Arabidopsis thaliana: one gene and its partners. The protein of the gene in region 3 interacts with the protein of the main gene of each other region in a pairwise test. Each region holds a gene or a part of one and is shown on either strand. Other genes may lie near its edges. The genes, in order: NAC061, AT3G11580 and BBX17.

Region 1 (4,463 bases), on a different chromosome or scaffold from region 3:
ATCGGAAACACTATATATTAAGAAAATCATGGAACTGCTTGAAAGATTGATTTACTACACAAGCATGAAACCTTAAAAATTTTCAACCAATAAATATTTATACAACTAAATTTATTGTATACATATAAAGTACACAAGTATGAGGTCTTGTGGACCAATTAGTCTTAACGTTCACTGCTCGTGGAATGTTTGACACTTGCACTTAAGTTATTGGGGTTTCTTTTTTCTTTCTTTCGATACCATTTAGTTATTTTTTTAATTCACTACTTGTACGGTATCACCTGTTAATTGAAACTTTTCAACCGATTTATTATCTTTTGTTCACTCTTGGATTAATGTTCAGAAGACCGCACCAACACTTATATCTCACCTTGCCTTGTCTCTTGACTTCTTGGTTCATACTTCCTTCCAAAACTTGTCTTGTTCGTGGAAGCCTTTTGGCACAAAGTTATGTCGATTTTTGTTGTTGTTATGGTCCACTCCAACAATAAATCTGTTAAATAAGAAATATTTTTGACAATATAAATTAAATAACAAGATATTTTTACAATAGCTTTTTTTTTATTAATGGTGTCAATTTGGATTTGGAGCTCATAGGGCCTAATCCATTTACCAAGAACTATTGAATTTTTCTATTAAAAAATAGTTGTTCATACAGAAATTTGGTTAACCACATTCTCTTGAACTCTATAAGACTAAAATTAAATCATAGAACTCTAAATTCGGACACTAACCCTTAAAACTTAAAAAATCTTAAAACCGAAAGTAAAAACTATGAATTATTTATTCGATTTGAAAAGATTATTATATTGGCATCAGTTTATTATTTCTACACAATATTATTCTTATATTTTACTTCACACTAAAAATCATTGATTAATCAACTACTATTCAATTCAGGCATATTTAAATTATTCGAATAATGTCTTCAACTCTCAAATTTTTTTAATTCTGAATAGGTATGTGGATAATCATGCATGTTTGTATCACACAATACATATTTTGGTTTGCCTATTATTTTTCTCGTAGACTTGTTTAATATGCGACATGATAAAACAATTGTGTCGCATAAAACAATTAACAATCTCTTTCTCTATAAAAGGCGAAAGAAATTTCTTAAACCATAAATTTGAGACTAATAGCTGATTTCAAACAAAGAAACGTCATAGCTGATGTAAAAAAACAGTACCTCCACATCCCAATGTGTCAATGTGATACCCCGCCTAACGACTCCGTACAACTAAAATGGTAGTAGTATTAATTTCCTTTAATGTTTTTTTTAGCTTAAGTAGCTTCGGCGGATTGTATTAATCCACAACATCTAAAACTAAATGCCACTAGAATGGATGATTTATGCTTTGAACTTCAATAATATATATAGCTCATCCAAACCTAAAATGTAGTAGACCAAATGATCGAAATTCAGCAAAAATCACTTGAAGATGATTTTACCTCGTTTCAAATTGTAAAATGTAAGATCAAATATATGCAATATTGATATTTACTTTACTTCATTTATCCATATATTTTTAGTAAAAAAAAACTGTAAAATCAAATATATTTATATGATTTATTATTTTCTACGTTTCTACGAAAAACAGACATTCATTGAGGTAACAAAAAAATAGGAGGATATAATAAAGAATATTAGAAGAAGACTAGTAAGAATAAACCTTGACTTATTCAATGATAAAGTACGTGGTTTGTGAAAAGCACTCACTGTCTCACGTATAGATGATAGAAATGGCACGAAATTATCACAAAGATGGGCCCGTGTCCAATTCCCCAACAAAATATGAAAAGACAAGTAATAATACATGAACAAAAAACTAAAGTCCAAACGCGTAAAACTTTTCTCATTTCACTCGGAGAAAACTAATCTCTACTTGCACCTATTTAAACTCATCATGAGTCCATGTGGTTTCACTTTATTCAAGAAGCAAATTTGTAACACACCAAAAAATGGGAGAAGAGCTTTCTGTAGGGTTTCGGTTCTATCCGACCGAAGTAGAGCTCCTTACGTATTACCTAAGAATCCAGCTTGGTGGAGGAAATGCCACCATTCATAGTCTCATACCGATCCTCGATGTGTTTAGCGTTGAGCCTACTCAGCTTCCAAGTACGTATGCAATCATTAGCTATATAAATAATGTCGATGATATATTTGTCGTATATATGTGTAGTCTTTCACTGTAGAGTTTTCCTTCTTGCGTTTCTTGAGTAGAGTAACGTGACTAACGTTATCTTGAGATTGTATGCATGAGATTTAGGTTTGTGTTTCTTGATTTCGTGGTTAATTATAAGTTACAAAAAAAAACTTTACAAACAATCACATTTCTAAAATTAAACAATTTCATTTTCGACAAAGTTTAACTTTACATGTAATTAAGGAAAACGTATACACATAAACTGAGGATTTACACAAAAAAAATTGAGAGGTGTGTTATTGGTTTGTGTGTTTTTTTGTTTGTAGATCTTGCGGGAGAGAGGTGTCGAGGAGATGCAGAACAATGGATTTTCTTTGTGCCAAGACAAGAGCGTGAAGCTAGAGGAGGCAGACCAAGTAGGACCACTGGTTCAGGATACTGGAAAGCAACTGGTTCACCTGGACCCGTGTTCTCGCCGGATAACCGAGTGATCGGAGTAAAGAAGACGATGGTTTTCTATACCGGAAAAGCACCTACTGGGAGAAAGACAAAGTGGAAGATGAATGAATATAAAGCAGTTGAAACAGCCAGTGTATCTACCATCCCAAAGGTGCATAATCACTTCTTTAAAATGAAGACTTTCATCAAATAATTTTTCTCAAATATACCAAATTCTATTTGTGGGATTCCAATATAAAAATAACTGATGTCTCAACACCTTTTTGGACAAGCATGTGCAGTGAACTAGCAGAATAATCTTTAATACAATTATTACAAACAGAGATTATTAAAAACGAATCACCCTTTGATTCATGTCAAAAATCTTTATCATGGTTATTTTATATCTCACATATATAATCTTGTCTTACATATATCGTTGTTTTCAAAAGTTATATATGTGGTAAAAGAGTGTGCGAAAAATTACATGTGTTTTTAAGTATTTGAAACTATCCAATTAAATATCATGCATACATAAATGATAAAAACCAAAATATTCATGCATGCATTCTTTTGTCTATTGGTTATATATTAGAGTTATAGAATTTCTACCATCCCTATTAGGGATTCCCTAAGATGCATAATGTTATAATATCTAAGTTACTGATAATATTTTAGTAAAACAATAGTTAAGCTTTCATTATCAAAACAGGTTCTAACGAAGTTTGTTCCTATTCAATATAGTTGAGGCCCGAATTCAGTATCTGTCGAATCTACATAAAGTCAGGAAGCTCGAGAGCCTTTGACAGACGTCCCACAGAAGCTTATGCGATAGAGAGAAATCTTCCTAGCAATGGAGTTGAGACATCATCTCGTGCCACAATATCAACCTCACCAGAAACTTCACATTCAGGAGGAAACCAAGTTGATTTACCGGTGAATGCTACTACTATTACACAAAGCATCTCAGATATGGTTGATGAGCTATCGCAACCTTTTTGGGAGTGGGAACAAATGAATTGGTCTTAAACGTATTAATTTACTTCTTATGTTCATTTGTTACTAAATATACAATAGAAGATAAGAAAAAAAAAGAACAAGTCGTCAGATTTGTGGCAACTTTTGTTCTTTTCAGTCGCCAACTAGTAGTATATGACCACGACATTTTTAAGCCTAACCTGATTATTAGGCTAAGCTTGAAGATTCATTATTTTTCACGCAAGTCTTTTTTCCTTTATTTTCATGTGTACCTTTTTTTTTTTTTTTGCTTTTTGTTTTGAATGAGTAGAGAATTTTTGAAAGGTTAGTTCTACTTGATCATGGAAGATATTTAGATTACTTTGCATGTATTATTCTTAAAAAAAAAAAAAAAATCGATAGAAATTAGCTTCAATCAATTAGATCAGTCTCACATTCAATATAAATCCGCCGACACTTATTGCACTTTCTTTATTTCCATTTTAGTATTGTATGTGTGATCATTTTAACTCTCACCATCTGTTTTAGAGGTGTTCTTATATATATAGAGATGTGATCTCTCATTAGATCGACACAAAAAGACAAGGATGACTGAATGAGTATAAGCATCTCAACCGGGTCATGTCTTTGATCACGTTGAAGCTCTTTGTTAGTCGTTCAAACTTCTGTCCACGAAATAAAAACTGTAAAACAATTCTTAGATTTTTTTTCATTATGTTTGCAATATAGAAAGAACACATGAGACAAGAAAACATTTTTTTTTAAATTAATTTATTGAGTGAGGTGTACATATTTTGAAATATGGCTTATGCTTTATCGATGGTGCAAATTACTCTTACAAAAAATAAGGTCAAGTGCTTAGGGATGTCAGTTAGGTTGTCCACGTCTAATTCGTTTTTC
Region 2 (4,870 bases), on a different chromosome or scaffold from region 3:
GAAAATTAGGAAAAATAGAAACGTGTAAGCACCAATGATATTCCTGAAAGCACGTGACAGATATTTCATGATCCTATAATTAACAAGTGATAAAGATATTAAATAAAATTAACGATACTTGAGAAATTCGTCAAATAAAATAGAAGAGGACCACTCACGTAACCATTTGCACGTCCCATTGATTTTTGTGGTAGACTTGGTATGTTATATTACTTATATTCACAGAATTATATACGAAACTCACGACTTAAGATGCACGGTAATAACTACAGATGGAAATTTACCCATCAAACAAGAAAACAACATTTACTCAAGCATCTAGCTAGACCAAAATGTTTGTTTACTTGTTGACTTGCGATCCATAGATATATTAGTTAGAACTTTTTCTTCTACAATTGATCAAATGTTTCACACTGTTCTCAATTTCTCATCTAGATTCATGACTTATATGTTTGGTCAAATATCACAGCTTGATGAGCATTAAATAGCGTCGAAGTATAGGATGGTTACGTTGTTCAATATTGTAAAGGAAAAAAAGAGAAAGAGTGCCAAAAGGTCAAGTCGATTTCACAAATAAATCTTGAAGTCTTTATCCCTCTCGATTATAAAATGATTAGGAAAAGAAAAAGAGAGAATAAAATGTAGATAAAGAGAAAGAGAAAGAGAGAGAGGAACATAAGGGATGGTATGAAGTAGAAGTGAAGATGCATGCGATGGTGTGTCGGAAAGGCAAAGCACATGCTACACAACTTGAGCTTCTCACTTGCGTCAGGGATAAGTATCCTCTGTACCTTCTTACTTTTGCGTAATATGTACCACCTCACTTCTCAACCGTTTGATCTTTAATCCTTCATTATTTCTTCATTACCTTCTCTTTTTGTTTTTGTTTTCGTTTTCAATTTCTCATAGATTCATTTACAAACTAAATATCATAGGAAGGTGTTATCTCTAGTTAATTTCTTATCCTACTTTAACAAAATTTAATTGTCAAAAGATTATTTTTACGTTTATAGACAAAAGATACTGACACATCAATTCCACGAACCAAATGGTTGAGAAAAACAAAACGACTATCTTTGTCTTGCAAATAAATTAATGGCAGTTAGTAAGATTCTCAGCTGAAAATTCATACAAGAGTAAATGATCAAATAACCATTTATGAGAGAAATTTAATCCTTCAGAAACCAATGAGGATCTGATCAAGTAATTGCAAACCACATGAGTCCATGATAAAGGATTGTTTGACTTACGCAATCCACATATTTATGGCTGCTTGATATGTAAGGTTTATCTGCTTTGACAGTCTATAGAATCTTGCTAATCAATACGTCATATCCGGTGAATACTGAAACTTTTTTAATTAAGAAAACACAAATCATCTTTTCTCCGGAGGATTTCGAATTTAGTTCCGGCAATGCTGAAATAACATATGTTGAACTTATAACATTCCAAGACATCAAATTTTACTAATATATAAATAATTACATATTCTTCTTCTACATGATCAAAACCTTTTCAACTTTAATTAAAGGGTTACGTCGCGGCGTTTTGTGTGGCTTACTCTTTTTTTACACTATAACTATAGAACACTCGTGGATCCAATGCCGTTTAGGACAAGATTTTATCAGACGAGAAAAAAAAAAACAATACCACATTTTTAAATATATATGGATTATGGACTGCAACAACAATATAGAAAAGAAGAGAAAAAAATAAAAATAATGATTGAAAGGAAATATCATCACGCAAAACCTTAAAAGTACTATCGGTATCGTGTCGTCCTCTCCTCATCAAATAGTTCCCACAGTTTTCACATCAATTTAACCATTTTCAATTTTTTTCACTCTCTGTCTCTCTCCTTTGTATAATACTATATTAGTACCATTACCCATCTCTCTTTCACCACCAAACCAACACCTGCAAATCCTCTCTCTCTCTCTCACTCCAAGAAACCAAAAAAAAAGATGTCAGTCAACCATTACCACAACACTCTCTCGTTGCATCATCACCACCAAAACGACGTAGCTATAGCACAACGAGAGTCTTTGTTCGAGAAATCACTCACACCAAGCGACGTCGGAAAGCTAAACCGCTTAGTCATACCAAAACAACACGCCGAGAAATACTTCCCTCTCAATAATAATAATAATAATGGCGGCAGCGGAGATGACGTGGCGACGACGGAGAAAGGGATGCTTCTTAGCTTCGAGGATGAGTCAGGCAAGTGTTGGAAATTCAGATACTCTTATTGGAACAGTAGCCAAAGCTACGTGTTGACCAAAGGATGGAGCAGGTACGTCAAAGACAAACACCTCGACGCAGGCGACGTTGTTTTCTTTCAACGTCACCGTTTTGATCTCCATAGACTCTTCATTGGCTGGCGGAGACGCGGTGAAGCTTCTTCCTCTCCCGCTGTCTCCGTTGTGTCTCAAGAAGCTCTAGTTAATACGACGGCGTATTGGAGCGGCTTGACTACACCTTATCGTCAAGTACACGCGTCAACTACTTACCCTAATATTCACCAAGAGTATTCACACTATGGTAAATTCAAACCCTTTATTTCCTCTTTTGTTTTTTCTTTCTCTCTTATCTATATGTCAGATTTATACTCCTCTCTGTTCTCTTTTAAGATTTGTCTTTTTCATAAAAATAGATGATTCGTAATTTGTATTGCATATTTACATGTTCTCTTAAAAAAAGTAATAGAGATTAATATTTTATGCATGGTATTTTAGATTATCTGCCTACTTTATATGGTAGTAAACAAGAACATTCATCTTTATTTGGTTTTATAAACAAAATATGAGAATTTTTAAAGGTTAGGGCAAGCACTTGGAAAGCTCAACCATTTTAGTTAGCTGGTGGAATATCTTTCTTATAAAAAGCAAATGAGTTATCTAAAACTATATGACAATTATTTTAGTTGCGTGTGTAATGTATATAAAATAACAACATGAAATAACATTTTGTCTTTTATTTTTGTCATTCTTATTATTTAATTTTGGACCCGACAATTTCAAATAATCTTCTCCAAGTTGTAACTAATCCGTTACATGCGCGTGAGGAGAACCGTCCAATCCACTTAGACTAACGTGCCCTTTATTTCTTCCTTTTAATTCTATGTTAAAAAAACAATTTAACTAAAAGATGCGCACGTGTCTTGACGGTGGAAAAAAATTGTAGGCGCCGTCGTTGATCATGCTCAGTCGATACCACCGGTGGTCGCAGGTAGCTCGAGGACGGTGAGGCTTTTTGGCGTGAACCTCGAATGTCATGGTGATGCCGTCGAGCCACCACCGCGTCCTGATGTCTATAATGACCAACACATTTACTATTACTCAACTCCTCATCCCATGGTAAATATTTTTTTTTTTTACATTTTTGTCAGATTCAAATTTTTGCTTACGTATGATATAATTATTAAACAGATGTCGTGGCTGTTTCTCGAGACGAGACAGATGAAAATTAGTAATTTTAAAATAGACCTGAAAGAGATTTTTATGTTTAATAAATTATATAAAGGAGGAATCAGAGAGAATAATACTATACACTTGACTGTAAAACCACATGGCCAATTTGGTTTTTATTTGATTACTTTGATTTGTTTTGTTTACTCTTTTGTCTCTGTAGCCTCCTTTTGTTCATTAATTAATATCAGCCGTAAGTATATAGTTTCCTGTGAAAACAGTCTCTATTTTGGTTTTACTATTCTAATTTGTTAGGCACCGTCAGTTTTTTTTGTGAAACCAAATTATTGACTAATAAGCTGGAAAGCAAAACTGACTAAAAGCATTACAAACTTATCAATGACATAAGTTTTGAATTTATTACCATGTTTTGTAATGTTCAGATATAATTTGAAATGCTTAGAATTATATATTTGTATACTTAAATTAATGAAATAAAGTGAATACTAAAGATAGTTTTATTTTTCATATTATTCTATACAATTCGGTGTACAATTTGTTTTTGATGATAATAAAAATAATAAAATTGCGTGTTGGAATTGTGAAACAGAATATATCATTTGCTGGGGAAGCATTGGAGCAGGTAGGAGATGGACGAGGTTGATGACTGACATTCAAAAAGAAGTGACAACTTTCTAGATTTTTAACTTTAGAATTTAGATTATGGGCCCATACTTGGCCCAATTGTCATAGAGAAAAAATGGACAAGAATTAATATTATTAGTAGCTTCGTTATGTATTTAGTATTTAACTAATTTGAAAATAAAAATAAAAGATGAGATTTTGTTTCTATTGTACATTTGAGTCAGAACAGAAAAAAAAAGTATATGCAAAAGATGTGAATTAGTGTGGGTTTATAGTAGTTGATATTTGAAGGCTAAAATAAAACCAATGAAAGCTTTCTATAGCACAAAAGTCATTTGAGGGCAGGTACCCCAAATTGGTGAGCTAGGCCTAGGCTAAACCTTATACACATGTAGCATGTATTTGATGATGAAAGATGAATTGGGAACTGTTGAGAGATTCATGTGAGGAGATTACGAGAAGAAAAGGTGTGGGCCTAATTACGAATGATTAAAGAAGAGAGAGCATATTCATATATAGCATGTGTGTAAATATATAGGTTGTGTTACATCGCCTTTTATCTCTTTTCCAAAGCCAAAGCCAGGGACCATTTTATTTGTTGCTGTGTTACTTACACTCTTCTTTTGATTCTCTATTTTGTTTTTGCATTACAAAGACAGTGTAAAAGGAATATGAATCATTTTTACAAGCTATGACAAAAATGGGTTTAGGTCCCAATTCTTTCTATGCATTTATGTTTGTCTTCGTGTTTCTGCATATATATGAGTGTATTGGTAAATGGTAAGTGGCAACACAAACGCAAGTTTCTGTTTCTATAT
Region 3 (4,209 bases):
TTCCCGGCGTTCTCTCTCACACTGGTGAAAATGCTTAGATTGAAATTCTTAGGGTTTCGTGTTTTTTTCCTTAGCCTTTGAATTTTGAATTCAGTTACTCTTTAGTGTGTTTGATTGAATTTGATTTGAATTTGATGTAGAGTGGTCTCAAAATTCTTCATGAATACCTTTGTGAAATTGATTCTTCCTTTAGATATATGTATTGAATTTTTTTTGTTTGTATTGATTTTGTCAAACCAGGTCCTAAGCCAGTAGCTGTTGAAGAAGCTGAATGATGTTGTGTGCGTGATTGATCTTTGGTAAGTAACTGGTGTTGATTAGTTATATAGTGTGTATTGCTTAGAAGAGGAGAAAGGTTAGACTTTCTAGCATGCTTTGTGTAGACACTATCTTATAACTGGACATGTTATGTGAATCTGTTTGTGGTAGGAGAAAATTGGAATATGGATGTTTGGATAGTTATATGTATGAACTGATCAGGTCTTAGAGTGACTTAGTTTTGCGGAAGTTGTGGATACACTGGTTAATTATTGATATCAATCTGACTGCAATCACAAAGGTTAAAGCTTAGTCATGGACTTTCTTCGGTGGTTTTAGAAACAGGACATGTTTTGGAATGTATAGAAATGAAATTGATAGATCTTGGAGTGACTCAATTTTGGAGACATATGGGCCGATATTATAGATACCAATCCGCTTGCAATTGCGTCCATCTTTAATCTGCAACAGAGCTAAACCTAGTCACAGAATTTCATTGATGAATTAATTATTTGAGATATGAGATGTTGTGGACTGTATGAAGAAGGATAGAGCTCCAACATTTAGGTTTTGATTGGTTTAAACAATAGTTCCAATAGGGTTAAGGCATATAGTCAAAATCTCAAGTTCAAATTGGATTGATGATTTTTGTATTTGGTTCAAAGATTTTAAAGGTTTTTTCTTGCTCCAATGACACAGGTGAGTGAGAGCTTTGATTACCATACATGAATGGAGTCTCTGTTGCAAGTTAATGCTCCACATCAAGGTTGTTACTTGATTTATGCTTTTCTGTTTCGTAAAACATATATTACTAATTGGACTTGGGAGTTCCAATTGGTTAAGCTCAGCTTCGTTTTTCAAATGATTTATATATATTTTTGGCTTGTTGTACATTGCGTCCCTGTTTGTCGAAATAATGAAATTCCCAAGTACCTTTTTGCATGCTTGCAACTTAGTATATGTTTTTAAGACTTTATCTGATAAAACTAAGAAAGAGTTAACTCTAAAAACATCATACTTTCCCTTTATTTCAAAACTGTAGGAACATCTTTACTTCTTTAGTGTTGTCTAAATGGATTCATTTCTGAAATAGTTCATGAAATTTTTATTAACCTTTAAGTAGTAGTTCAAACATCTACGGAGTCTATTACCATATGTTAAATGGTGACAAAGACAGGTAAGGACCACAGACAAAATGAGTCAGAAAACAAAAGACTAACAAACAAAAAGATAAAACTTAGAGATGGGTAAGGAAAAGAAGCCATAAAAGACCCAAAAACATAATCCAAGTCTAACCAATAAGATCGCAAAGATATGGATCAACTTCGGTACATGATGCCAAATCATCACTACAGTGTCTTTTTTCCTTGTACAACCCAACCAAAAATGGGTATGGCCAAACTTCAATAATACACCAAGTGTTTACTCATCTCAAATTTTACTACCTTTTCTTAAGACTAATCTACTCTATATAAGTATGTTCACTAACCCTTAATGTTAAGATTCAAGAATATTAAACATGTATAGAACAAGACTCAAGGAAACTTGAGCTAAAAAGTCATTTCTAGTCCCTACTGACATAAGAAAGAAGTGTCAGTGAAAAAATCTTCTAGATTCTAAAGGAAAATGTCTTTGTCTGATCCCAACGAAAAAGATTATTATATACCTACCTAAGCAGGCTCCTTTGTCAGTGCCCATTATTCTCCATCCCTCTTAGCCCTTGTCTTCTTCATTGTCCCCTTTTTCTCACTTTAAGATCTTTCTTGTTCTTAGCCCATGACAAGTCACCAAAATATCAAAATTTCAGAAAGTATATAACCATTACTCTACTGTTTCCTGATAAACCTCCTTTTGTGCCAGTTTCTTCTTCTACTTTGATTTCTTCTCATATCTCTGTTTTCATGTTTTGCGCAGAAATTATGATTTCAAAGTACCAAGAAGATGTCAAGCAGCCACGAGCTTGCGAACTTTGTCTGAACAAACACGCAGTTTGGTACTGTGCCTCCGATGATGCTTTCTTGTGCCATGTTTGTGATGAATCAGTGCATTCTGCAAACCATGTAGCGACAAAACACGAGAGAGTTTGTCTTAGAACAAACGAGATATCGAATGATGTGCGTGGGGGAACAACATTAACCTCGGTTTGGCACAGCGGGTTTCGAAGAAAAGCAAGAACTCCTAGATCTCGGTATGAGAAAAAGCCACAACAAAAGATAGATGATGAGAGAAGAAGGGAAGATCCTCGTGTTCCCGAGATTGGAGGCGAAGTGATGTTTTTCATACCAGAAGCAAATGATGATGATATGACTTCTCTTGTGCCAGAGTTTGAGGGATTCACAGAGATGGGATTCTTCTTGAGCAACCACAATGGTACTGAAGAAACAACGAAACAATTCAACTTTGAAGAAGAAGCTGACACAATGGAGGATCTATATTACAATGGAGAAGAAGAAGATAAAACTGATGGAGCTGAAGCATGTCCTGGACAATATTTGATGAGCTGCAAGAAAGATTACGACAATGTCATAACGGTTTCAGAAAAGACAGAAGAAATTGAAGATTGTTATGAGAATAATGCAAGGCATAGACTGAATTACGAAAATGTTATAGCAGCTTGGGATAAACAAGAATCTCCTAGAGATGTAAAAAACAACACAAGTAGCTTCCAGCTAGTTCCTCCAGTAAGCGCCTAATCTTCCGAGTTCTTACAAAAATGATATTATATTGTTTCAAATTGAGAAAATTGAACCCAATCTATCAAAGAAACTTATTGTAATGGTTGTTGATTGCAGGGGATAGAGGAGAAGAGAGTAAGAAGTGAGAGAGAAGCTAGAGTTTGGAGATACAGAGATAAAAGGAAGAATCGTTTGTTCGAGAAGAAGATAAGGTACGAGGTTAGAAAGGTTAACGCCGACAAAAGGCCGAGAATGAAAGGTCGATTTGTCCGACGATCTTTAGCCATCGACTCTTAGGGAACAGATTCTCTCAGTTTCTTCTCCTTTGTGCCAAATAAAAAAAAGGCTACTCCAAAGAAACCAGAAGCTAATCAAAAGAACAAAAAAGCTCATGTGGAACATATTTCGTAGCTTTTGAATTTATCCCTACAATGACATGGTTACAACTTTATTCTTAAATCAATTTGAGAATTTAAATTTCATACTAGTAAAAGCTTCTCTTATGAGGTAAATCTCTTTATATAAGCAGTTAGTTACAAAAACCAAAACGAATTACAAACAACTTGTAACTCAAAGATTTGTAGTTTTGTACTAATACCGTTGGCCGTGTCAAGAAAGTATTCATAAAAACTTATCGATCCAATCAGTAGTACCATTAAACCAACTAAAATCATCATCCTCTGGATCTCCTAATAATCCAAGATCATCCATAGGAAAATCTTCTAACTTAAAATCATCTATCAACGGATCAAAATCAAGTAAATCATCGACGAATAAGTCCCCATTGGTCGATACGATTTTGGCATGTTGATTAACTTTAGTGTGATCCCCAATCTTAAATCCAAATGTTTTCTCCTTTCCTACTCTATCATTCTCCACAAAATCAAACTTGAAATCATCTACAATGGAAATAAATTCCACTGAATTGTAATCCACCCAAATATCATTTGCTTCAACAGCCGAATCACCAAAAATATCAGCAATTGACGATGTCATCAACGGATCTTCCAACATTTTACTAATCACTCCCTCTTCTTCATGATCAGCGTTATAACCACAACCAAATGGCTTCTGATCAGTAACAATTCTCTTATTTACCTTTTTGCAATTCGACTTCTCAGTAACTTCCTTCTCTTCTGGTTTACGTACACCGCACGGCTTGGTCAAATCTACTAGGTCTTTTTCCTGTTTAACTAAACCCAATCGTTCATCAAACTCTCTTTTACTCTTTTGGTAAGCTTCTGCTGCTTCTTCTTCAGTAGGAAACGTTCCAAGC

Evidence for each region.
Region 1: the proteins of BBX17 (region 3) and NAC061 interact in a two-hybrid assay, tested with the Arabidopsis thaliana proteins (one large-scale study listed by BioGRID).
Region 2: the proteins of BBX17 (region 3) and AT3G11580 interact in a two-hybrid assay, tested with the Arabidopsis thaliana proteins (one large-scale study listed by BioGRID).

What each region holds. Positions count from the first base shown.
Region 1 is NC_003074.8:16,021,987-16,026,449, reverse strand, and holds NAC061 (NAC domain containing protein 61), read left to right. Parts: upstream 1-1,930; 5' UTR 1,931-1,962; coding exon 1,963-2,119; intron 2,120-2,473; coding exon 2,474-2,757; coding exon of another isoform or gene 2,758-2,799; exon of another isoform or gene 2,800-2,988; intron 2,989-3,329; coding exon 3,330-3,614; 3' UTR 3,615-3,875; downstream 3,876-4,463.
Region 2 is NC_003074.8:3,648,366-3,653,235, reverse strand, and holds AT3G11580 (AP2/B3-like transcriptional factor family protein), read left to right. Parts: upstream 1-1,746; 5' UTR 1,747-1,964; coding exon 1,965-2,541; coding exon of another isoform or gene 2,542-2,657; exon of another isoform or gene 2,658-3,183; coding exon 3,184-3,722; 3' UTR 3,723-4,017; coding exon of another isoform or gene 4,018-4,071; 3' UTR 4,072-4,276; downstream 4,277-4,870.
Region 3 is NC_003070.9:18,173,762-18,177,970, reverse strand, and holds BBX17 (B-box type zinc finger protein with CCT domain-containing protein), read left to right. Parts: upstream 1-1,581; 5' UTR 1,582-2,034; coding exon 2,035-2,068; exon of another isoform or gene 2,069-2,159; coding exon of another isoform or gene 2,160-2,172; coding exon 2,173-2,939; intron 2,940-3,050; coding exon 3,051-3,230; 3' UTR 3,231-3,554; downstream 3,555-4,209. Other genes in the region: AT1G49140 (NADH dehydrogenase ubiquinone 1 beta subcomplex subunit 10-B-like protein (Complex I subunit NDUFS6)), read left to right, coding at 241-275; CRF9 (Integrase-type DNA-binding superfamily protein), read right to left, coding at 3,555-4,209.